Struthio camelus: one gene and its partners. The protein of the gene in region 1 binds, or shares a complex with, the protein of each later gene. Links are inferred from orthologs where the notes say so. Each region holds a gene or a part of one and is shown on either strand. Other genes may lie near its edges.

Region 1 (7,797 bases):
ACGAGCAAAAATGTCACCATTACTCCATGTTCTCCAATTTCAATCAATTTTAATCATCTAAGCTGTTCTTGCTAACCTATGGTAAGGATATTTGTTCTAAGAACCTTGAATAGAGTGGTGACACTTCAGATGGCTCCCTTCAACAAAGAAGGATAAAAATGCAATTTACAGTAGGTCACCGAATCTCAAGGCAAATTCTTGCTACTGTCAATTGTGGCTTTTTCCTCAGGCCAGTCTACCTCCAGATACCAAGCACTTTGTCTCCACTGTTTGACTACACATCTTCCTGTATTCCTCCTACTCCCAGGTCAGGAGCGTTCTTCGAAGTAGTCTTCCTCGAGGAATCTAGTCTACCTGCGCTCATACAAATTCACAATATTGACTGAGAAAAATAAAATAAACAATTCAGTCATAAGAACTGGCCCAACTCCCAGTACCACAAAGAATCCTAAATAGACACATCAGCCCTAACGCAGTCCCAGAGACCCGAAGCATCCAGTTCCACCCCTCAGATACTTTCCAACTCTCTCAGAAAGACTGGGTCTGGGGCTGATGGTAAGGCCATCCCTCAACTGTCTGAGCTGGGCTCAACCAGAAGAATGCAATGCAAGATGAAAGTGGAAACTCCAGTGGTCTTTTGGGGTCCACACCCAGCAACAGAGACTGCTGCTGGATTCACGGGAAGCCGGGCACTGATTAAAAGCACGCCACTTGCCAGAAGCAACAGCTGCCACATTCCACACAAAAGCCTGCCCCATGATCTTCACAAGAAGGCCTATTAGAAAGCACTGACAACTGACAAAAGCAACATTATGAAGTGGCGAAGGGACTAGGAAGACTTCTAAGTCTGATGGGATGCTGAAAAGCATCATTTACCCATTAAGTCTGTGAGAAGCAATGGATTCTGCTACATAACCCTGAACAAGCTTCTTAGTCTATACATAAAATGGTGCTATTACCTTGTTTCACTGCAACCTCGGGTATAAAGCAATATGGAAAGGGTAAAACATTTTTTAAATAAATTCAGGAAGCTCCGAGGCACACTGCAACAGCTGACTGACTACCTTCCACATAAAAACCTGCTGAAAACCACCCACTCAACTCTGGAGACAACATTTATAGAGAAGAAAAGACAGTTCAGCGTCCACAGGTCAATCAAAGTATTAAAAACAAATTAAGGGAGGTTTGTAATTAGTAGCAATGGTGAAGTTTTATATTTTCTCTTATGTGACCACTGGAAACTAAACAAAGACTACCAAACAAGCCACTTGCCAAAAATCAGGTAGCTTTCGCATATGAGGAACCCTGCTCCCATTAAATTGGCACTTTAGATGCAAGAGACTCTATCCATCTCCATTACAAATCCTCTGAGCTCATCCTAGCATTACTTTCCCACATTAAGCAAAAGAGTTAACATAAAAAGCCTGCCTAGCTTCAGACATTATCCAGATGAAGAGAAGGGGGAAAAGAGAAAATCCCTTGTATTAACACCCTCAGCTCTCCCAAAACCTTTTCCGATATCTTTGTTCTGTCAGACCTGGCATTTATCTGAAGACATTGTCTAGCCCTAATTAAATCTTTATGTGAACCACTGCTACTTCCTGGCAGAGAACATGCATTCTTGGTGTGCTGATGGACCTACATAATTTTCACTTCTCCCTTATGGTGAGTGTTAGGCCTTGCTTGAAAACATCACAACTGTGTTCAACACAATATGTTTAAACAGAAATATGAAATTATTCAGTTCCTTTTAAAGAATGAAGAGAAACATAAGTGAAAATTATATCCCACAAGCTCAATGAAAAAAAAAAAAAACTGTGGAAACACAGAGCAAATAGTGCTGCCTGAGAACAAGGCATGCTTTTGTTTTACTGTTGTCTCAGAAAGGCATAACTGGCAGTGATATAAGAAGCAGTAAAATTTCTCTTCCAAAATAAAATCTGCAGCTATCTCTTCCCCTCCCGACGCACAAACAAATTTTGCATTATGGGAAGTCGCTTTATAAACCCCTCATACACACCTAACCGTATCTGATGAAGATAGCTCCCTCAGAACTTTGTGTTAGAAGTCTTTAAGTTGGCAGCTATTGCTCGTTCAAAGAGAACAAGGGGATATAAGAGCTATGCAAATTTTTAAACTCCCCAGTTAGAAAGGCAGAAAGCTAGAAAAGCAGATTTTATTGTTAAAAAACCCAATAATTATGTCTTAAAGAGGCCCCTTTAAATTACTTACTGATGCTAAAGGAATCTGACATTAAATAGATTAGAAATTATTGCCTTCCCTAACAATGCTTATTGTAGATGCCTTGTCCAAGCAGCAAAGCAGACAGCTGTCCTGGCAGATGTTATCAGATGGCCAAACACAACAAAGCAAATTCACTTTAAAATCATATTTAACTTTCACAGTTCTTGTTATTATCCTCAAATTCTCAGCACTTCTCTCCCTAACCAAAAGAAATAAACACCCCAGATGGCTAAAGAAAAACAGCAAGATATACATATGCTCTGTATAGCCTGACAAAGCAAGAGTCCAGCCATCTTCAAAGCACAGTGTGAGATTTAACCATTTAAGAGCCTTTTAGTTCTACAATGGGGCATCTCTGCATGTGTGGGTGAGACTACTATAAAACATCTTTGGGGTTGTGAGGTCATGACCAGATACTCTGCAAAATTTTTCCACTTTATTTGCCACTGACACAAGTCTTCCGTCAATCCATAAATTAATGTAGAACAGCTATAGATTATACTTCACATAGCTATAGATTATGCTATCTATAACCCTTAAATAAGGCATTAGGATTACTGTCCCTTAAGAAACAAATCAAGACACAAAGAAATTAAGAGCATGGTCTCACTGGAGAGGGATACTGGTACAATAGCATTCAACTGAACATCGCTTTGGCTTCTGGGAGTGTATGCCAAGGCTTCTGTGCTGCAGGAACCTGAGCCAGACTATTGTTCTTTCCCACCGAAAAGTGGGAGATCTTGTATTTCTTTGGGGCCTAAAAGCAGAAAGCGGGAGGGAATGACAGCTCATGCAGCTGTGGGCAACTTATTAACCTCTGCAAAAGCAGAGTCTGGGCTTTCTCCCATGGTCCCAGCTGTGACAGCCCAGATCAAAACCAGACTTGCCACAGATGAGAATGAACGTATGTGTAGGAGGGAAGGAGTAGACATAGCAACCCCGTAAGGGCTTGGCTAATTTTACAGTGACAATATACTCAAAACAATCTGCCTAATGTTAACAGATCATTAGCAAAACAACAATTCAAGCTCTGGGCTGAAGACTGAGCAGGTGCTTATACCTCTAAACCTCGTCACCTTCCCTACATATGCACAGGTCCTTAGAGGTTTCAACACTTTGGGAACAGGACGGCTGAGGCTGAAGAACATAACAATTCTGTAACAAGGCGCTCACATGCAGGGAAGGGAGCTGGAGGAAGCACACAACTTTCCTTCATCCATCAACTGTCTTGAAGTGGAGTAGCTCCTTCCTCATAGCAACCAGAAGCCCAGAACCCTGGCCTAACCCCAAAACTGCTAACCCCTGAACCCTCTGTCACCCACAGAGCCCTCCACTAACCCCCAGAGATAAACACTGAGTCCTCAGAGCCCCTCAAGAAGCCCTAGAGCACCCACACATCCTGATAGCTCCCCATTACCTCCACAGACCCCACCAATCCCCAGAGATCCACCCTACCTCCAGAAACCCTGCACTACCTCCACAGACCCCACCAATCCCCAGAGATCCGCCCTACCTCCAGAAACCCTGCACTACCTCCACAGACCTCACCAATCCCCAGAGATCCGCCCTACCTCCAGAAACCTCCCACTACTCCACAGCCCCCTATTAACACCCACAGGCCTCTCACTGCCTCCAGAGATCCCCATTAACTCCTGCAGATCCCCCATTAGCTCCAGAGTCCCCTGTTGATGCCACAGTTGTCCTTCTGCCTCCAGAGTCTCCCATTAACCCCCACAGATCCTCCCACTGCCCTCAGAGACCCCGATTAATGTCCAGAGGCCCTCCACTGCCTTCAGAGCCCCCTATTAATCCCCTTAGTTCCCCTACTGCCTCCAGAGACCCCCATTAACCCCCACAGAAGGCCCCATCGCCTCCAGAGACCCCCATCAACGCCCGGAGATCCCCATTACCTCAAGCCCCCCTCCCTGCAGCAATCCCCCAAAACCCCCACAGGCCCTCACCACCCCCAGTGTCCCCAGTAACCCTCAGAGCCTCCTCCAACTTCCCCCGCCCCGAGCTCCCAGCGGCCTCCAGCCGGCCTTACCGAGGCTCTGCCCCACCGGGGTGCTGAACGGGTTCCCCAGCAGAAACTCCATCTTGGGATGACAACAAACAGCGGCCCGGCGGCCCCCCCTCCCCCACCCCGCCCTGACTGGCACCCGCCCCCACCAACCGCAGCATACCCTGCCAGGCGAGGCCCGCCTCCTTGCATCCGATTGGGCCGAGACTGCACTCCCCGTGGTCTCACAGGTTAAAGAGCGTGTCCATCACTGTCAAGTGAAGGACCCGCCCCGTCGGTAATCCACGCCCTCCAGTTGATCGACAGCAGGGATATCGCTATAGGCATTCACCATTGGGCAACTGCCAAACCGTTCTCTAAGACTATTGGGCAAGTTCCACGTCAATCACAAGTGCTTCCTCCCGCCCCAAGGGCACGGTGCCCGCTCTGATTGGCTGACACCGTTTTCTCGCGCTCTGATTGCTAGACAGCCTTCCCACCCACTCCCTGACCATTGGCGGCTCAGCTTGTCACGTGGCCTTGCTTAGCAACGGGCCTGGGCTTCCGTAGCAGTCGGCTTGGAGGCCTGGGGCTGAGGCGCAGGTGGGAGCGGGGCGGTGGAGGGGGCCAGGCCGGGGGCCTGGGGCGCCGCAGAGGTCGGGGGGCCGGGGGCTTGGAGGACCGGGGCCTGGAGGCCGGGCAGCCGTGGGGCTGAGGCCCCAGGACGGCTTGGGATGGGGCCTGGGGAGGCCAAGGGGCCTGGGGTCTCTGGTCCCTGCAGGCAGCCACAGCGGCCAGCAGCCCCCTTCTCAGGGGGAAGGAGGGGAGCCCGCCTGGGTTAGTGTCACCTGGATAGGGAGGGTGAGAGGCACCGTCCTGGGCCCTGCAGCGCCTGGGGGTGTTGGGGGATGCGGAGTTGCTTCCCAGGCCTGGGCTTGTGCCGATGGTGAGCAGCAGCACCTTGTCTGGGTGATGCATCCACTGCTCTCATTTCCGCAGTGCCCAGATTGCTCCTGCAGAGTGTCAGCAGGCTGCAGACCTTGACGGTTTGGTTAGATCTGTGGCACTAACATTAGCTAAAGAGATGACAGACAAATGCAAGGAAAAGGCAGTGGAAAGTCCAGCAGGTCACAGATGAATGAATCCATGATGTGCTGCTATTCCTTGGGCTGTGTTGAACATGGTCATATAGAGAGTTGGTTTGTTACTTAAAAGCATGGTTAGGATGGAATTATCTAAATTCAAGCATTTCTCATTCCTGTGCTCCTATGCAGAGAAATCAGCCAAACTTTTTCCATGAAGTGAAGGTTTGAAGATTCAGGTCCTTCATACTGAGTCTGTGCGCAGTTCCAGAAAGACAAGCAGCCTCATTGCCTCCAGGGAAACGTTAGGTATATTTAAATAACAAAGCAAGGGCAGAGAGTTAGGAATTGTGGATTTCCTAAATCAGTTGTCAGAGTGAACGTATAAGTGTTCAATGCTATATATTGACTGAAATACACTGCCTCGGTCAGATGACCCTTACTGTGGATCTCTATTCAGTGTTTGCTTTAGCGAATCATTGCTATTGTTTATAAGTTTTCCTCCTTCCCCAAATTTGTTTTTATTTTCATTATGAAATCAGTGTTTAAAATTTAGCAAACTGCTGTTACTAACATATGGTCTCTTACTCTATAAATCAAACCTTCCTATAATGGTAAACTTGCCTTTCAAAACTAGATTTATGTGGTATACAGAGCCTTGAATAGGCCATTTCCATAAAGATGGATTTCAGCAACAAGTGACTGCCATGTGAAGGATCCTTCCGTACAAAACACTCGTTGTTTATAGGGCACAGGGCCTCCTTTAGCTGTTCTGTTTATCTGGCCAAATATTTACATTCTTTATGGAAAACTCTCAAATATGGTGTGAAGTTTGCCTGTTGTAACCTGCTAAAGTTGCCTGCCTGTACGGTTGTGCTCAGCGTAGCATCAGTGACTTTGTGGTAAAAGTAAAATACCTCTTTGATATCATCCGTGAGGTATTAAATCCTCTCAATACCCAGCTATGTTTTTGTTATCTTTGGAACTGTTATGCCATTTCAATAAATTTTGGAAATGGTAGCCAGGCAGTGGCTTTATTTATTTATTTTTTCTTTTAAGGCGCTTATCATCTAAAAATGAGTCAATTATACAATATCATTGAGCCAAATGTGATCAGCGAAGAAATGGTTCAGAAAGCTGTGGAAGAGCAAAGTCAAGATGAGGCAGGGCAGCTTGCCAAAAGGGAAGGTATTAGTTTTAAAGACGTCACAGAGCTACAGTTCAGTTTTAGAAGTGAGTATCAGAATATATATATTATATGTTTATTTATTAGAGGGTAGAAGAATTAAGCATTGAGTGGCTAACTGGCAATTATGTAATCATGATTAGCTTGGATTTGGTATATGAATAGTAAGGGACTGGACTTACATTTTTAGTCATACTTGTATGAAGTAGTTTCAGTAGAGAGAGCTGGGGGGCTTTGCTGATTGATAACTTTAAAGCTGCTTAACTTTGTGCTATTATTGTCACTGCCGTTCTTATTTAACATTTATATTGTGGTGACACCTACAGGCCATAGGCCTGTTGGGCCCTTTTATATGTGGACAAATCAAATGCTGGCCAAGCTGTTAGTGACCATCGCTGGCTATTACGTGAGGGCTATTTGGTAGCTTATGGCGATGACAGTTCAATTCAGTGGCCTCCCCTGGCCACCCATAGCATTAGGCCACCTTGCCTTTTACTGTCAAACCAGACATAAACTTGCATTCAAAAAACAAAAAAAAAAAGAAAAAAGAAAAAGAAGAACATCTGGCTCACTATTTGAGTATTTTCGGGGTACGTAATTTCATGGACAAAATCTGCTTTTGCTTATTCATTGTGTGCTCCAGTAAAATGTGTACTAAGAAACTCAGAGGATACACGCACTTCCTGTTACTTGATTCTGCATACATTTGTGTGCAAATCAGAACATGGCACTGCGTGAGTATTTAATGCATGCAGTTCCTTGCTTTACATTGCACTCGCTAAACAATAGCACCTAACAAAATCTTCAGGGAATTCATTGGCATAAAGAGAATTGGGGTGAGAATGTTTCATATTTTGTCACCTTGGTTCTAGTGTTTTCCTGTAATGCCTAACAGCCTGCCCTTGTGATGGAGTTTCTGGAGAAAGCTAAATGCAGTGATATTGATCAGCTCTGAACTGCAGCCTTCACAGAAACAGTAGTCCCCGACCTGCTCTCCTGTAATGAGAATTTCAGGGGCAGGAGAGTAACTTACAAAAGCAGTAGCTGGCTGCCAGGAGCCTGCAAATGCAGAGGAAAGCAGAGGTTCATCCCAAACCTCGCTCTTGGAGCTGGAAAGCAAAATGAATGTCAAGGCCTCCTGGTAGTAGATTCATAAAGCCGCTCTTGACTGCAGTGCTGTAGTCAGCACCGCCTTAGTGACTCATTGGCATCACTGATTAGCAGTGTGTGCTGGTGCAGGACACTGAGGTTAACCTGGCTGCTGCGCTGAAATCCTCATCCAGCCA
Region 2 (7,408 bases), on another chromosome or scaffold:
AGATAGGAAGAAATATCAGTGCCACTGTATAAGACACCACTAAACTCAGATAAGGCACTGCGCGTGTTTCTAGTCATTTGTGTTCAAAAACATGCAGAGACAGAGGAAGACTAGTGGGGTGATTGGAGGAACGGAGAATCTGTTTTACAAGAGGTTAAACGACTTGAGGAGTGTGATTACTCTCTGTAAATATATTTGAAGGGCAGATACTAGGGAGGGACAGAGCTATTTAAGTTAAAAGATAATACTGTTACAAGGTCAAAGGAGTATGATTTCCTCATGAATACACTTAGCCAGGCAGTTACGATGAGGTTTCTAACTTTCAGAAAGATCAAGATAATGGCAGAGGCACCCTAAACTATTTTAAGAACCTTGCTAAAACCATGGCAGAAAAGGTAACAGCAAAGGAGTGATTCCAAATACTTTCAATAGGCTTACTATCCTTCCTGTACTACTTATATTTATTTAAATAACTAATCTCACTCTTTAGGGCTTTTGATTGTGACCTTTAACTTAGGAAGTGATTTCCTCCCTTTGCTTCTGAGATTTTTTTCTCTCCTTTCTCTGGATTATAAGAAATGTGCTACAGCTTGAGATAGGAATCTGATAAAATGATTAACTAAAGGTAGCTAATAATCTGTATAACAGTAATAAACGTCACTTTTCTTTTCACACTTGGCATTAATAGTAGAAATGGAGATGCAAGTTCATCTGAGTTAAGTATTTTTACACAGAGAAAGTCAGACAGTCTCTTTACAGTTAACAGGCACTAGTTAATTGTTATGTAAATTTGTTTTACCTTTTTTTAAAAAGAAATCATGATATTTCAGGTCTAAACAACATGAGAATAGTCTCTTACATGTTCAGCCCGAATGATAAAAATTTGGAGAAAACAGATTTCTTGAGAGAGCTGTGACAAATGATTACAACAACATTTTTGAAAGAAGAAATAACACTTGCAGCTCTCATAGGAAAAAGTGACTTATTTGGAAACAGCGGAGGATGCAATGGCTTTTCCTGTACCCCATCAGCAACTTCTGTCCAGGAGAGAATTAACTCAAGATATTTATGTGTTTTAAGAAATCACACAGCTGGAATGTAATGTTTCTTTAAAGCCTCCTATTTGCTCCTCCTATATATTTCCTCTTATATCCGTATACTCAGCAGATGCTTGTGCCAAGCCAGTAAGCTCTGCCTGGGCTTATGTTGACTTGGAAGTGAGAAGGAAACCACTGTCTGGGGCATTTAGAAACACTGCAAATAGTGAGCTGCTCTCACTAGATTTTAGCATGAATGCAGTGCCCACAGACCATCCTGATTCAGTCACTGACATTGACCTAAATCACTGTACTTTGCTCAACTCCTTCGTTAAACTCTATTAACGAAAAAGAGGTATGTGGAAGACTGAGCTTCCCCCAAGAGTTTAGGCTGACATTCTTTCCCTGCTGTTCTAAAGAAAAAGAAAAACATATCAAGAAATAATTTTAAAAACAACTGTATAAAAAGTCTGGCCTACTGTTCCTTCCTTGGGGAATTGTAACTCCCTCTGCTGTGTGAGAGCCCTGCATGTACATTTCTCCCATCCTGCTGCCTGATAAACTGAAAAGGCTGCAAAGACAGTAGGCTTTTAGGCAGCATTTCTGCAGCATCCTCTTTAGTCAGTTAAGAAGTAGCAATACGGATGAATTCCACTGAGAAAATTCAAAGCTGAGAATGTCACATCTCCTTTAGCTCTGTTTTGCAAACATACTGTCAAAGTGAAACCTCTGAGTTCCCACAGTGGCAGAACTGGACCATACAGCATATCTTAGCTTTTCTAGAACAACGTCTATTAGGCGAGCAAAGCCGCTGTGGTCTTACTAAACTCTACTACTACAAATGTTAGAAAATAAGTTGCTCGTTTGAAAAAAGAGAAAATAAAACTTGATAAATTAAAGTAATCTTGGTTTTGGCTTTGAGATGCCATCCAGGCTTTGTTCCGACTGTAGAAAAACATTTTCAGCTCCTGCTCTCTGAGACTGTACCGATGAGACGCTAGAACTAAGTGCAAAGAATAAAAGACGTGGTGCTACTCTTAGCTCTATTATGGGACTTAATCTGTATGGGACAGGAGAAGACCAGAGTTAGGGAACATTTATTGGTTGTGGCATCAGTACTGTTGGAAAAGTGAGTGTTTGGACAGTTGGTTTGTTCCCCTCGAAGCAGGGATCGTGTCCTTTCTCTGACCAGAGAGGTTCCTAGCAGGCTCTTTGCTCCTAGTAAGTAGGTCACCGAGCATTACTGGGCTTGCTGCCTCTTCCTTCAAGCAGAAGCCAACACAGGAATTGGGAGAGTCAAAACACCCCCTCCCCTCTCCGCTCCTCCTCCCCAGCCATTTTATCTGTCTAAGAAAGATCCCTGCTTATGCACGCTCACAAGGCATGGCGTGCTGCTACCCTGGCCCAGCAAAGTGCAGACAGACTCAGTTTTCTCACGGGATCAGGATCCACTTCCTCAGCCCAGGTTGGAGCCCTCAGAGCCCGGCTGACGAGGTGACGAGATGACACCAGGTTTAGTTACCAAGGTTAACTGCGTCATACAAGCACGGAGGGCACAGGCTCAGGTGCAGTTTAAGACACTTCGGAGCAAAGTTGCAATGCAAGGCAGGGTGGCGAGGGTACATTTGAAACGGGAATTAGGTTCCCGCATCCCTTAAAGCGCTCTGTAGACGCACCTGAATGCCTGGCCCTGCGAGGGAAGCGGCAGAAAGCAGCCGGGAACGACGCCGACGCGCGGAAACAGGTAAGTACGCGCTCACGTCTGCTCTTATTCGGTAAAACACCGCAACGTGAGACTTCACAGGCGTGGCGGTTCCCCGCCAGCAAGGTGACAGGCGGGTACAGCGGACGCCGAGATGGCCCCCGGCCCGGCCCGGCGCGGCGGTGACGGCCCCCTCGGCCCGGCCCGCCGCTCACCGGGGCTTCGCGCCCGCGGCGTCCGTCTCCATGGTGACCGCCGGGGACCTTTTGGGGCTGCCCCTGTGGGTGCCTGCAAGGCCGGATGAGAGCCCCCCCCCCCCGCATTTCGGCCCGTGGGAGCAAGGGGAAAGCGAGCGTTGGGCTGAGGAGGGGCCGCCTGGGGCTTTGTTACCACTTGCGGCGTCTTAGCTTTCTCCACCCAGGCGGCACCGTGGCCACCCACGGGGGGAGGGGGGTCCACGCCGGCCCATATCCCGGCAGGCCGCGCGGCTGTTCTCTCTTTCGCCGCCATCTTGGCTCGGCGCCGCGGGGGTGAGGCGGGAGCGGCGGCGCGGGGCTGAGGGGGCCGCTTCCCCCCCCCTCCCCCCCCCCCAAGCCATGGGGCTGCCGGCGGGCGCGGGGCACTCGGGGCGCTGCGGCTGGCGCCGAGCGGAGGCGGCGGCGGGCGGGATGGCGCCGATGCGTGGCGGATGGTCCCGGGTGCCGTTGGGAGCCCGCAGCTGAGGGGGGGCGAGGCGTTCGGGCCGTCCCGTCCCGTTCGGGGGGGGGGGGGAGCAGGCGGCCTTGGCGGCCCGCGGGCGGCAGCACCCGTCGTGGGGAGGTTGGCGGCCGCTCTGCCGCTGTCGCCGGCCGTGGTGTGGGCGGCCCCGGCCCGCCGGCTGTGGCGGCCGGGTGTCCCGGGCCCGGCGGAGCAGGCCGAGGCGGCTGCCGCCCGGCCGGCAGGCAGGGGCTGCCGGGTGAGCTGTCGGCCCGAGGCGCTCATGGCTCATTGTGTCGTTTCTAGGCCTGCTGGACCAGGGCTTCAGGAGGACGCCATGAGCGGGAGGTGAGTGACCTGCCCCGATACGGGGTCTCGGCTCGCTGTGACAGCCGCACTTTTGGCAGGTGGTCTTGTAAACGGAGTATTCCCGAGTGTGTACCGTCAAACAGTGATTCGTGTTTCCTGTGGCTGCCCCTTTTTCTGGACAAGTTCTCTGTCTGACGCTGTGCTGTGCCTGCTTTGTTAAACACCTATGGTTGTGTCTCCACTACCTTAAACTGGTTGTAATTGTTCATATGATGTGCCAGGCTTTCCAGTGCCTGGCTTTTGATGCTGAACATTAGTGTGGTTTCAGTTATCACGGTGTTTAAGAGCCTGCAGTGTACAGTACAGGTTTTCCCATACTGTTTTCTTAAGTAAGAGAGGTACTGTGACACCACAATTTTTTAATGGACGTAGGGAGTGTTAATACTGCATGTGCCAGAAAAATGAAAACTGAATTACAGTGTCTTGTTTTGATATGCTTGGGTTTATCTTATGCACATACGGGAGATAAAACTAGATAAGTCAGTTTGACGTTGTAATATTATGGGCCAGTTGGCATATGCAGTTGAGACTAGTTATATTTTCTATGTGATATATAGAATCAGCCATGTAATTGCTTGAAGTGGGTGGGACAAACAGGTCTTTGTCATGAAAAATTGTTGGGGTGATAGTATAATGTAATTTGTCCATTGGATGTGGACGGAGTGACTGTCCCCAGAGACTGCAGTTAATTCCTTTGAGGCTGCAAAGTTGTGTTACGATGGACAACAGTTAATATCTTCTCCTATAGCAGTTAGTACAGCACAGGAGACTGTCACGTTAGTGTGATGTATTGAAAACAGTAACGTTTACCCATGCCAAAAACAGTTTGCAAATGTTTGAAAATATAACATATGCTAATATTGAAAGGCTTTGCTCTTGGTATGAAGGCTGTAGTAGAAAGAGAAGTTTATAACAAAGAAAGTTATAGAGTTCTTAAATGCTTCAGGCTCCAGGTACTTTTCTCCGTTGACTGGCTGTAAGGGTTTGTAGAAATCTATATAAACGAAACTTTATTTTTTCATCAACTAAACTTCTCCTGGTGTAAAAATAGTTCCTTCTGAAACAGAACATTATTTGTTTTTTGCATCTAATACCTTGGAGTGATTTATCATTTATCAATGTTTTTAGGTTGTGGTCCAAGGCCATTTTTGCTGGCTACAAACGTGGCCTCCGAAACCAGAGGGAGCACACTGCCCTTCTGAAAATTGAGGGGGTTTATGCCCGGCAGGAAACAGAGTTTTACTTGGGCAAAAGATGTGCCTACGTGTACAAAGCTAAAAAGTAAGTAACTTTTCGTTGTTGTGCTAAATTAGAAACTCCTATATCAGCTTTTGCAAAGGCTGGGATGTGATCAGTCACTTCTTGTTGTGACAAAAATAAGTTGAGCTGAGCTTGTCAACAGGCTGTCCGTGGAGTGTTTTGTAGAGTAGTTTCCTTGGTTGGTCTCAGTTTAAAGTTTTTCAGGATGTGTCTGCTTTAAGTGACCTTTGTGTTGTTAATTCAGATCGTGTATTTATATGGGAATAGCTTTGCTCTTAGAAACACTATATTAACAAGTGGGATAACAAATTTTGCTTCTGAGGCTAGCAGAGCTGAAGGCAAGCTGATAATGCAGTATATTGGAGTTAGCTGAATTGGTGTTGATCACTATGACATTTCAATTATTTAAATGGCCGAAGAACATTACATGAAGCCTGGAGTGCAGCCTGAAGGAGTTTGAATCCTGAGCTGCTTTTGCGTGCCTGTGTCAGAGCAATGTCACTTCTGCTATACTGGTGTTGGTGGAGGCCTTAGAGTAGTTGCTTATGCCTTTCTACTTAGTGTGTAATTGTGAGAGCTAGATGCAAGAGTTCAGAGTTGCACTGAATAAAATTGGTCAGGCTATTTGCGTGTTGATCTTCGTTTCCAAGGTGGTTTATGCCTTTTTTTTTTTTTAAAGCAATTTTCGCAGTCTATCCCGGTGCCTTAGGCCGCTCTTGCCCTTTGGTGTATCTGGAGAAATCTTAGAACATGTTACTTTTTTTTTGTAGTAACAGCTTATGAGTTTTCATGTTGATTATCTTAACATCCAGTGATTTTTTTTTTTTCATCATCTTAAGGTTATGTCTCATTAGTAGCTCTGCAGTGGAGCTGCTGATAAATTACTAGCCACGATATTCCCTCCATGTGGAGGGCGTAGTGGAAATTACAGCCGTAACAGTTTCCAAGGGCACATGAAAGTGGAAGTTGATCCAATTAAAAATGACTGGAATACAATTATGGAAGTGCCTTAAAGAGGCTACGTTGTCTGTCCCATCACTGGTCAGTCTTGCGCAGAGTCAAGACTGAGATGCTCAGAATTTTTTTTCGCTGTTTCTTTAGCAACACTGTAACCCCCGGTGGTAAGCCCAACAGGACACGAGTGATTTGGGGGAAGGTAACCCGCGCCCATGGGAACAGTGGCATGGTTCGTGCTAAGTTCCGTTCCAACCTTCCTGCCAAGGCCATTGGACACAGAATCCGAGTGGTAAGTGGATATATTTTAGCAACAAGATGTTTTTTGATAGTGTTTTTGGGATGTGTTTTAATCTCCCAGAGTACGAGGGAGAGCTTGGAATATACATATGACTTCGTTCTGTTACTACTGTGTGTTCAACATGGCCCTGTGGTAAGTGCTCCTTTTGGAGCTAGAAGAGGTTTAGCACTGGCTTCTTGTGTTGAGAGGACTGGTCTCATTGTTGAGGGGTTTGTATGCTTATTCAAGTTGACTGCAAAGGCTTTTTAAGTTCCTAAATTCTTCCTCAACTCCTTTCTAAAGCCATTTTGATTCCTCTTCCCTAAATCTTGTGCGTGTTCTTTTTATATGCTTCCTATTCTCCATTTCCTACCATTGGCAAGGGAGCTATGACATCAGTTTTCCTTTTCTCTTGCAAACACTTTCACTGAGGGCTCCGCAGTCTTGCGGCAGTAGGACCTGTTCAACAATTTGTTTGGTCACAAGGCTTCAGTGAAACTTTCCCTTTTGGGCCATCACCCAGGCTTTTCATGCAGGATCTTGCTAGTGATACTGTCAAGAGGAGCGTCAGAAAGATGCGATCCTTACTTTTCATGTTTTTCCTGTGCCTTACAAAAAGCGTGGTAGGAACAGCATGGTTAAAGCCTGAAAGTAGGCTCATGAGCATCTCCTCCTCTCAGTGAATGGAAGGGCTGGCTGCATGGGGAGGGAGCCTCTCTGCCAGCAAAGTGATACTTCAAGTCTTTGAACCAATTGCTAGGCTTTTTTTTATTCTTGCACCTCTTCTGTGAAAATTGGGGCCTGTTTTTGTAGTAGTTGGGGATCCATGATTGTAGAATGCAACTGCAAGATTTGTTTGAAACAGTACAGTGCAGTAACAAGATTTCTAACATGATTCTGTTTGTTTTTTACAGATGCTGTATCCATCTAGGATCTAAATTTTTATTGGAAATAAAATGTGGAATCTGTTTCATTTTTGTACACTTGTGTTTTTATCCCCTCTAACTGTTCTGAAGAATTTTTTTTTGGGTAGTGTATCAGAATCCACAGCACAGTGATGCAGTAGTGAGTCTGAACTAGGTGTTTAAAATGGAGATTTGATCTATCCTT
Region 3 (7,968 bases), on another chromosome or scaffold:
GTTTTGTATAAGTGTAAATGCGTGAAACAGGAGCTCAGACTATTTAATATAATTCCTTTCGGATTAAAATTTGTGGCATTAATTGCATTTTAAACATGTGCTAACTAGCAAAATGAATATTGTCTTAGAAAAACTGTAGTATTGATCAAGTACACAGCATTACCATAATGACATAGGAACACTGAGTGTTTTTCCCTTTATGTACTTTCATGTAATTTCTTAAATCCCAGCTGGAGAAAAATATGTCTTGTCTTCTGTCTAGTTCTACTTCAGGCACTACCAGTCTGACATTTTGCTTTCAGGTTCTTGTAACAGCACTACTGAGATCGGAGATATTAAAATTTAGAAAATCTGACATCTTATGTCAAATTATAAGAAAAAAAGTATCTGAGAGCAAATGGAAGAACAGATAGACCGAACTAAGAAGCAAAAGAAGGGTAAGAAATAGAATGATGGCAGGGAAGATACAGACAAATATAAAAAAAGAGATGAGGCAAACAGACTACTGTAATCAAATGAGTATAAAGAAAAATATTAAGCATTGTTGAAAAAATAAAGCAGCACAAATACAGAGCTATAAATTCATACATAAAACATATAGCCACAGATACTATGGGCATGTTCTACTAACACTTCTGTGCATGCAGGATTATATTCACAAGAATAATGTAAATTAGAGGGTAATACTCATGTGAGTAATGTTATGCATAAGAGGTTGCAGGATTTGACCTTTCACCATTTGTGTGTGTGTGTGTGTGTGTGTGTGTATCTGTAAAATATTTAAGCAGGCATTTTAACTTCGAAGAAGACAAAACTTGAAAATAATAGGACCTAAGGGAAACCTTTACCATGAAAGCTGGAGGAACTGCCGTTCTACAAAGAACTGAGGGGAATACCCTAAAGACTAATTATTTGACAATACAGCTAATGTTATTGTTCTGTTTGAACCGTAATACACAAACTGCAACTTTTACTTTATATGTGAAATGCTTGTTGGAAGAAAGCGTGATCAACATGTGAATTTAGATTTGGGGAATCCTAATTAACCCTCTAACTGCTATGCATAAGAAGGCTAATAGCAACTCCAAAATGGGTAGAAGCTACTTACCCTTGTGGGACTCCTTCTGCAGTTTAACGAGACACTGGCTGCTCGTTTGCCTCAAACGTGTTTATAATAAAGAGAAACCTTTATGAGGTAAGAAGCAACTTGTCCGCCTAATAAAAGAGTAGAACTCCCTTGAGTGATTAAAGGTGAGCTACATGTCTTGTCCTTGAAATATCCACGTGATAGAGCTTATTGGCCTCATTTTATGGATAGGAAACTAAAGTCCAGTATGTTGCTTTCCCACGATCCATTGGGAAGTCCAATAGGGCTAGGAATGGAGTTGAGGTGTCAGGGTTGCTTAGGATGGCAGCACGGACTGTTTTCCTATAGAAGGAGGCATTCCTACATTTGATACCTATTAGGAAGTGTTTTACAGGATGTTAAAAAATAAGAAGCAAAAAAAAACCAAAATATGTTTCTTCAGTAATACAGTAATTAAACCTTTTAAAAAGCATCCTCACTTTGAATCTACAAAACCTGCATTAAAACACATTACTCAAGCAACCTAAAAACCACAAGCTTCCTTCTCCAACAGTTTTTGCCTGTGGATTGCCAAAACGGTGCAAAATCTCACGTGTGTATGGGCGCTCAAAATATGTGGAGCCAGACATTGCCAATATCACGGCTATCCTGCTAAAACACCAGATTGCCTCTTCTCAGACGGGTCAGCAGCCTTCTAGACTCTTATCCTAAACTCTCTACCTATCTATCTCTACCAGTACTGTGCTTCAGCTTCATTTGTAAAACTGGAATGATTGAAAAAAAAATGCTTTTGCAAGACTAAACATAGATGGAAAACAATATTCAAGAAGTAATACCGTTAGCAACAGTCCTCGTTGAAACTACACTGGTCTTAGTTCTTACTTTATGCGAGATCTCTATACCGCAAAGTCTGTCTTAGAAATACTTCTAATGAAATCGAGTTACTCATTCAGCACTATCCGCAACAAATGCTTATACAGGATTTCTCTATGGAGGATACTGTTTTTCCTGAATAATATGAAATAATTCATTATTTAGATTAAATATAATATTTAGAATTTGCAAAATATTACTATGTACACCAGTTTATTTACGGAAATGAGGGGTGAGTTTTAAGAGTCGCAGTATTGTGAGTTTTACAGGAAGTACATTTGCTTTTCTTGAAATGATACTTGAATATCCTTGCGGCGGGAGTTACCCTTAGCCTATAAAACATCATTTCTGCTAATGCTTGCTAAAGTAGAACATGCTTGCCTCTAAAAATAAGTCATGATGCTATCAGCAGCCCAGATTACTTTTTTTTGGCAGAGGTCGCCTGACACATCCAAAAATGAATGAAAGAGGAGATGACCAACTGGCTAAAGCAGCTGGTTTAGCCCCCCCACCCCACCCCCGAAGCCACCCCAAGTGGTGACAGCGCGGCCGGGGTGGCATTGCCTGGGGCGGCATCACCCAGGGGTGGCATCTCCTGGTGGGGTGGCATCACCCAGGGGTGGCATCCTCCACCACAGGGAGTGCTGGGGAAGGAGCCCTTCCCCCGGAGGCAGGGGCAGGTAAGAGGCGGTGGTGCTGCACAGGGGGGTGTGTGTGTGTGTCTTTATGTCTCCGCGCATTTGTGTGCCCGTGTGGTGTCTGGCTGCCACCGTGCGTGGGGCGGACGGCGGGCGCAGCGTCTCTCCGTGCCCGTGGGCCCGGCCGGCAGCAGCCCCGCGGCTCCGCAGGCCGCAGCCAGCCACCCGCCGGGCGGCTCCGGCGCAGCCCCAGGCGGCCAAGCGCGCCGGCGGCGGCCCGGCCCGGCCCGGCCCGGCCGAGAGGCTGCGGGCGGCTCCCCTCGCCCCGGCCTGGCCTTACCCTCGCTGCTCCCCTCCTCCTCCGCCATGGCGCCAGCTCTGCGCCGTCGCCATGGCGACGCGGGCCGCCCGTCAGCGCCGCCGGGCCCGCGGCCGGGCCCGGGCTTCGGCTCAGGCCGGTGAGCGGCGGCCGGCCGGGGCCCGGCGGCGCTGCCTGGCGGCGGCGGAGGGGTCCGTGCTGTCGGTAAGCGGCGGCCTGGGCGCGGGGCCCCGCCGCAGCGAGGGCGCTTCGCGGCCCCCGAAATCGCCCTTAACTGAGGCCTCTCGGCGCGCGCCGCGGAAGGCAAATAGAAGGTCACTGGCGGGGCTCGTGGCCGGCGTTGAGCGTTGACCTTACACGCCAGCTCTCCGTGGCGGCCGAGCCCCAAAAGGCGGGTGAAGGGCCACGCCAGCGCGCACCCCGCAGCGGGCAGCGGACGGGGCCTCGCTCGAAGCGGGAGCAGCGCCCGCCGCCCAAACCGCCCGGGACCGCGCGCCGCAGCGAGCGGTAGTCGCTGCGGTACCCCCCCGGCTACCAAGGAGGTAGAAAACGCAATGGGAAAGTACCGCTGGCCTGCGAGGTAGCGTCGCTCGCAGCACGCCGCTGCCCTGGCTGGCAGGCTGTGAAGGAGCCCGAGAGATGTTGCTGTTTCACAATAGTCTATGCTCTTCTAAATTGAGTTTTCCCAGCAGCTGCATAATTTCCCACGTATCTGAGCTTCAGACAGTGAAGGAACATTTCCTTCTGAATACCACCACCCTGAAACCCCTAAAATAGTCTATCCACTAATCCTAAACAGAACTACACGGCTAAAATTCTAGGTACATCTTTTAGCAGACGTGTTTGCAATTCATGGTTCTTCCAACTCTAAAAACAACTACGGAAGTACAGAAAATACAGATAAAATAAGAATTAATTTTCCAATCAGATGCAATCATATATTCATAGAAAAAAAAAAACGCTTTTATGAAATTCCTAGAACTAGAACCTGGTCCTTGCCACCGCGGGTGCCTATTTGCCAGATGTTTAAATTTTGCAAAGCTCAGGTGGATGGTTCCTCCTCACACACCTTTATCCACCTCTCAAAGAAACAGTTAGATGTGCTCAGCACTCATGGAAGCTTGAAATTTCAAGCAACCCATTGAGCAGAGATAGGACTTCCTTGCTCTAAAAAATAACTTGCTTTTTAATAACATTTGCTATTTGCAGGAAATAGAAATCCACAGTGCCTTTCAGCCATTTATTTCTGCATTTTTATTGAATGTAGCTCAGAATAAAGTGGGTATAATAGATACCCAAGAGAACACACAATTACTCTGTTGGGAAAACAGCTGTTTGTGCTCTCTGAGCAAAGCTGATCCCTCTGAATGGTAATCTGTAGACTTGAACGGTTTACGAAAGTAACTAAATATTTCAAAGTACATATTTGACTGCATGAGGAGCATGGATTTGTTTCCTCTCAAATTTATAGAAGAAGTTCTGGTGAGAGCAGCAGCATGGCAGCAAAAGGAAGAGGGCCTAGCAGCAGCACAAGGAAAGGCTGTTGTTATCTTTCAATGTTACAGCGGTCCCATTTCTTATTCTCTCAAGACTTCCACACGCAAAACCTTTGTCCTGACTGGTTGTGTGTCTGTGGCAAATGAGTTACATGTTTGAAACTGAAGAAAAGTGCCAAATACGTTGTTGGACAAGCTCAGAGCTTTCTTAGTTAGTACTTCCCTCCTCTACCCCAATTGTGAAATTTCATGTTCTCCAATATTGTTCTCCGGCATTAGATTTCTTGTGTTATTTTCCAGATTACCTGATTCAACAGAGAACTTTCAGAGCTCTTCAACAAATGCTAAGTTATTCACAGTGTTTACCAAGTTCTAATAAATGCTTTTAAAAATCCTATTTCAGTCTCATTTAGGTTTTCTTGCCAAACCCATACCCAAAATATGAACAACCACCAGTTTTAAAATAGATATAAATATTGCTTATCATGCTAATTTATTAAAAATCTTGTGTTTTTACAGTTGCCTTTGACTTGAAGTGAGTCTTTGCAAATATGAAGAGGTGAGAAAGGAATTTCACTCAGGCCAGTACATTTAACATCTTTCCAGTAATTTCCCCAGGGCCTATGCTTGGTCTACCTCACCAGCCTAAGGGTTTGAACTCGGGTCTTCTCCCCACACTTGTTTTAACTTCCTCGAAGAATGAGGGCAACAGAAGCAGTGTGTAAAAGCTAAAAAGAAAGGGAAAAACTGTCTTTCGCTTCCAGTAGGAAATGCTGCATACTCACAATGTCTGCATCCTATTGTAGCAGCTGAACCAGACCCTCACCAGATGGTACAATAGCTCCGTTAGGACAGCATTATACCAAGTAGATAAAGGTATTGGTCAAATCCTGGATTTTTGTATCAAACTCATTAAGTTTGATACCTTTAACCTCGCTGCAAAATCTTTCGTCACTTACAGCTATCATTAATATCAGCAAACAATATTTTGCCCTATCCTGCCCCTGTTGTTGAGATTGCACTCATGACGAGTACTGTAAATCAAAGTGCTTTGTCTGCATCCCCTGCTCCAGCCTAGAGTTTCCTTTTGCTTTGAATAGCTTGTGGCCAAATGTCAGCACCTGTTTCCCCTTCTTCCCCCACCTCCTGATACACAGGGTTGGGCATCTTGCCTGTCTGCAGGAGCAGAACAAAATACGCAATGAGAAAGCGCTTCAAAATGAAAACTCACTGTTTTAAAATTTCCTGGCAACGCTATCTTGAAAAATGAAGGAAAAAAATGGTAACAGTTATGATGCAGATCAAATATTGGACCTGAACCACATGACTGTTTCCCTTCTAACTTAATGCACAGACATCTCAAACCAAGGGTATGAGTGGGCTGAAACAACTAATCGTGTTTTGGCACAGACAAGTACAAAAGGAAACCCAGAACTACTAATTCAACAGCTTGGAATATCAGCTGCTACGCTACATGCAAGATCTTTAAAGAGCTCCTCTGAAGAGAACATACCCTTTTAAACTTGTAATTTTTCGTTTAAAAATGTCAAAAAATATCTCAGGGAAAAATATGGAAGAAACCAGCTATGTTGATGTCCAGTCTGAATCCACTGAAGCCTAATAGAAAGAAGGCACCCTTACTTCTGCACTTAAGGAATTTCATCACATACATTCCTCTCAAATATCAGGGACCTATCACACATTTTGTATATTTTCTGTACATAGACATTTTGTTTGGCATTAAAAAAGTAGTACTAAAATGGGAAAAGTGATGTAAAAGATAAAGTATTTTCAGGAGGCACAATAATGCCTACCAACCCTCCATGGTTTTGGGATTGCAGCGTTTGGACACATCTTTATTGTGAACACATGTTGAAAATCTTTGCTATGGGACTCCCTCTGTGGATCTGAACAGACCATATAACTGAAGACACATTTGCCCTTCACAGAGAAAGCAAAGTAATAGCTGTGATTCTGTAACTGGAGTCTACCTTTACTCCTCTGCCTAAGTTCTTACAGCTAAAATGTATCTCTGGGTGGCAGTGCCCTTTTCCCCCAATATAACATGAAAGACCCCAGTGCATTTGGCATCTTCATTTCGGTCTTCCTTCGGATCAGCAGCTGATTCAAGTGACTCAGTAACAGCTTCTTCAAAATGGGGTATTAGCAAAACATTATCTGTTCACTCAAATGATATACAGCAACTAGATAAAAAATGAGAAAAAAGACTGTTCTTTACCTATACTATGTCTTCCCTTCAAATTTTGGGTAAATTCCATTGAGAGCAGATACCTCATTCCTTGATGTGTGGGAGGGAAATGTCTTCTCTTCCTGCTTGTTTCCTTTTTTCCTTAGAGTCTGTTGAGCCTATGCTTGGACCAGATGAAGAGAAGCCTCATAGAGTGGGCAGAGCCAGACAGTAGGCATACCCACCACTAATAGCTCTGCCGTTGACCTCTTCAAAACTGCTGGTATTTTCATCAGAATCTTGTCTATCTATTTTGTTTTCTTTTTGAAAAAGAAAGAAGAGCCTTTCGGGTGCAACTCTAACCAACAGAAGAGCAATAAGCACATAAATTTACATGATAGTTCCTTCATTTTCCGTTCAGGTAATAAACAAGGACTTAACCCAAGAAGCCCAAATCCTGGCCTCCTGAATAAGTTATCTGAAGGTATGATTGCATGAGAGATGGGGAGTTCACTGAGGCTGAAAGGGGAGGATCGAGCCCTTTCTTCTATTCCTGCCCCTCTTTCTCTTGTTGCTGACTGTACATCCACCTTCCACCTTGTGCTAGCTCGGACATTCATTGTGAGCAGATTTGACTCGCTAATGTAGCAAAAGATAATCCATCCGAAGTGGATTGTTTTCTGCCATGTTAATAAGTTCAACAAAGGGCCTGACAAGTGCCTGAACCAGCATAGGCAGGGAGTTGGACCGTGCAAGTAGAAGTGAGGAAGAAATACGGAGGATGAAGGCAGCAAGCGGGAGATATTCTTTTGGAAGGTGAAAGCTCAGTTGCTGGCTGAGTCTGTAAATCAAACAAGGAAGGAAGAAAGGAAACAATAGGTTCTAAGGTGGCTTATAATGACAGCATCTCAAATCCTTCTCAGTCCACAGGATGGCACTCGAAGTGCCCAGGCAAGTATCTCCTGCTGCCCATGTACAGGTATGATCCTATGGATCTGTAGATGCTCCTCTCCTGCCTCCGCAAAGCTGTGTTTGGGGAAAGTGACTGAACACACATTAAAAAGAGTTACTAGGAAAAGGGAAGCACCTTTTCCCCTCAGCAATATTCCTCAATGTCAAGGCACTACTGACAGCGCTTAGCCTCTGGGACTATGCCTAAGGAGCTGTAGCAGAAAAGAAAACCTTACTTTTATATCCAACTGCCTGGATGCTGTTCTCCAGCCCACCCAGACACAGAAGTAGCCCTAGAGACCCACATATTTTAACCTTCAGACTTTATTAACATTAATTATATCTAGAAATGAAGCCAGAATCCCTGAGAACACTCTGGCAGGAACAAAATACAATAATCCATCTGCCTAGCAACA

The links. Proteins that work in one complex are often made in the same cells at the same time.
Region 2: DRC3 (region 1) and IQCG share a complex: the UniProt entries of both Homo sapiens proteins name them as parts of the nexin-dynein regulatory complex. The link is inferred for Struthio camelus from reciprocal best matches to the Homo sapiens genes DRC3 and DRC9.
Region 3: DRC3 (region 1) and EFCAB2 share a complex: the UniProt entries of both Homo sapiens proteins name them as parts of the nexin-dynein regulatory complex. The link is inferred for Struthio camelus from reciprocal best matches to the Homo sapiens genes DRC3 and DRC8.

Annotation. Positions count from the first base shown.
Region 1 is NC_090956.1:3,768,501-3,776,297, reverse strand, and holds the start of DRC3 (dynein regulatory complex subunit 3), read left to right. Parts: upstream 1-4,788; 5' UTR 4,789-4,846; intron 4,847-5,517; 5' UTR 5,518-5,634; intron 5,635-6,384; 5' UTR 6,385-6,401; coding exon 6,402-6,558; intron 6,559-6,573; exon of another isoform or gene 6,574-6,938; coding exon of another isoform or gene 6,939-7,101; intron 7,102-7,797. Other genes in the region: TOM1L2 (TOM1-like protein 2), read right to left, coding at 4,289-4,340. UniProt on the Homo sapiens protein: Component of the nexin-dynein regulatory complex (N-DRC) a key regulator of ciliary/flagellar motility which maintains the alignment and integrity of the distal axoneme and regulates microtubule sliding in motile axonemes.
Region 2 is NC_090950.1:21,486,642-21,494,049, forward strand, and holds the start of IQCG (dynein regulatory complex protein 9), read right to left. Parts: upstream 3,002-7,408; 5' UTR 2,987-3,001; coding exon 2,955-2,986; exon of another isoform or gene 2,714-2,954; intron 1-2,713. Other genes in the region: RPL35A (large ribosomal subunit protein eL33), read left to right, coding at 3,040-3,269, 3,742-3,783, 4,933-5,085, 6,166-6,310, 7,213-7,236. UniProt on the Homo sapiens protein: Component of the nexin-dynein regulatory complex (N-DRC), a key regulator of ciliary/flagellar motility which maintains the alignment and integrity of the distal axoneme and regulates microtubule sliding in motile axonemes.
Region 3 is NC_090944.1:99,241,807-99,249,774, reverse strand, and holds the start of EFCAB2 (dynein regulatory complex protein 8), read right to left. Parts: upstream 3,002-7,968; 5' UTR 2,967-3,001; coding exon 2,939-2,966; intron 1-2,938. UniProt on the Homo sapiens protein: Component of the nexin-dynein regulatory complex (N-DRC), a key regulator of ciliary/flagellar motility which maintains the alignment and integrity of the distal axoneme and regulates microtubule sliding in motile axonemes.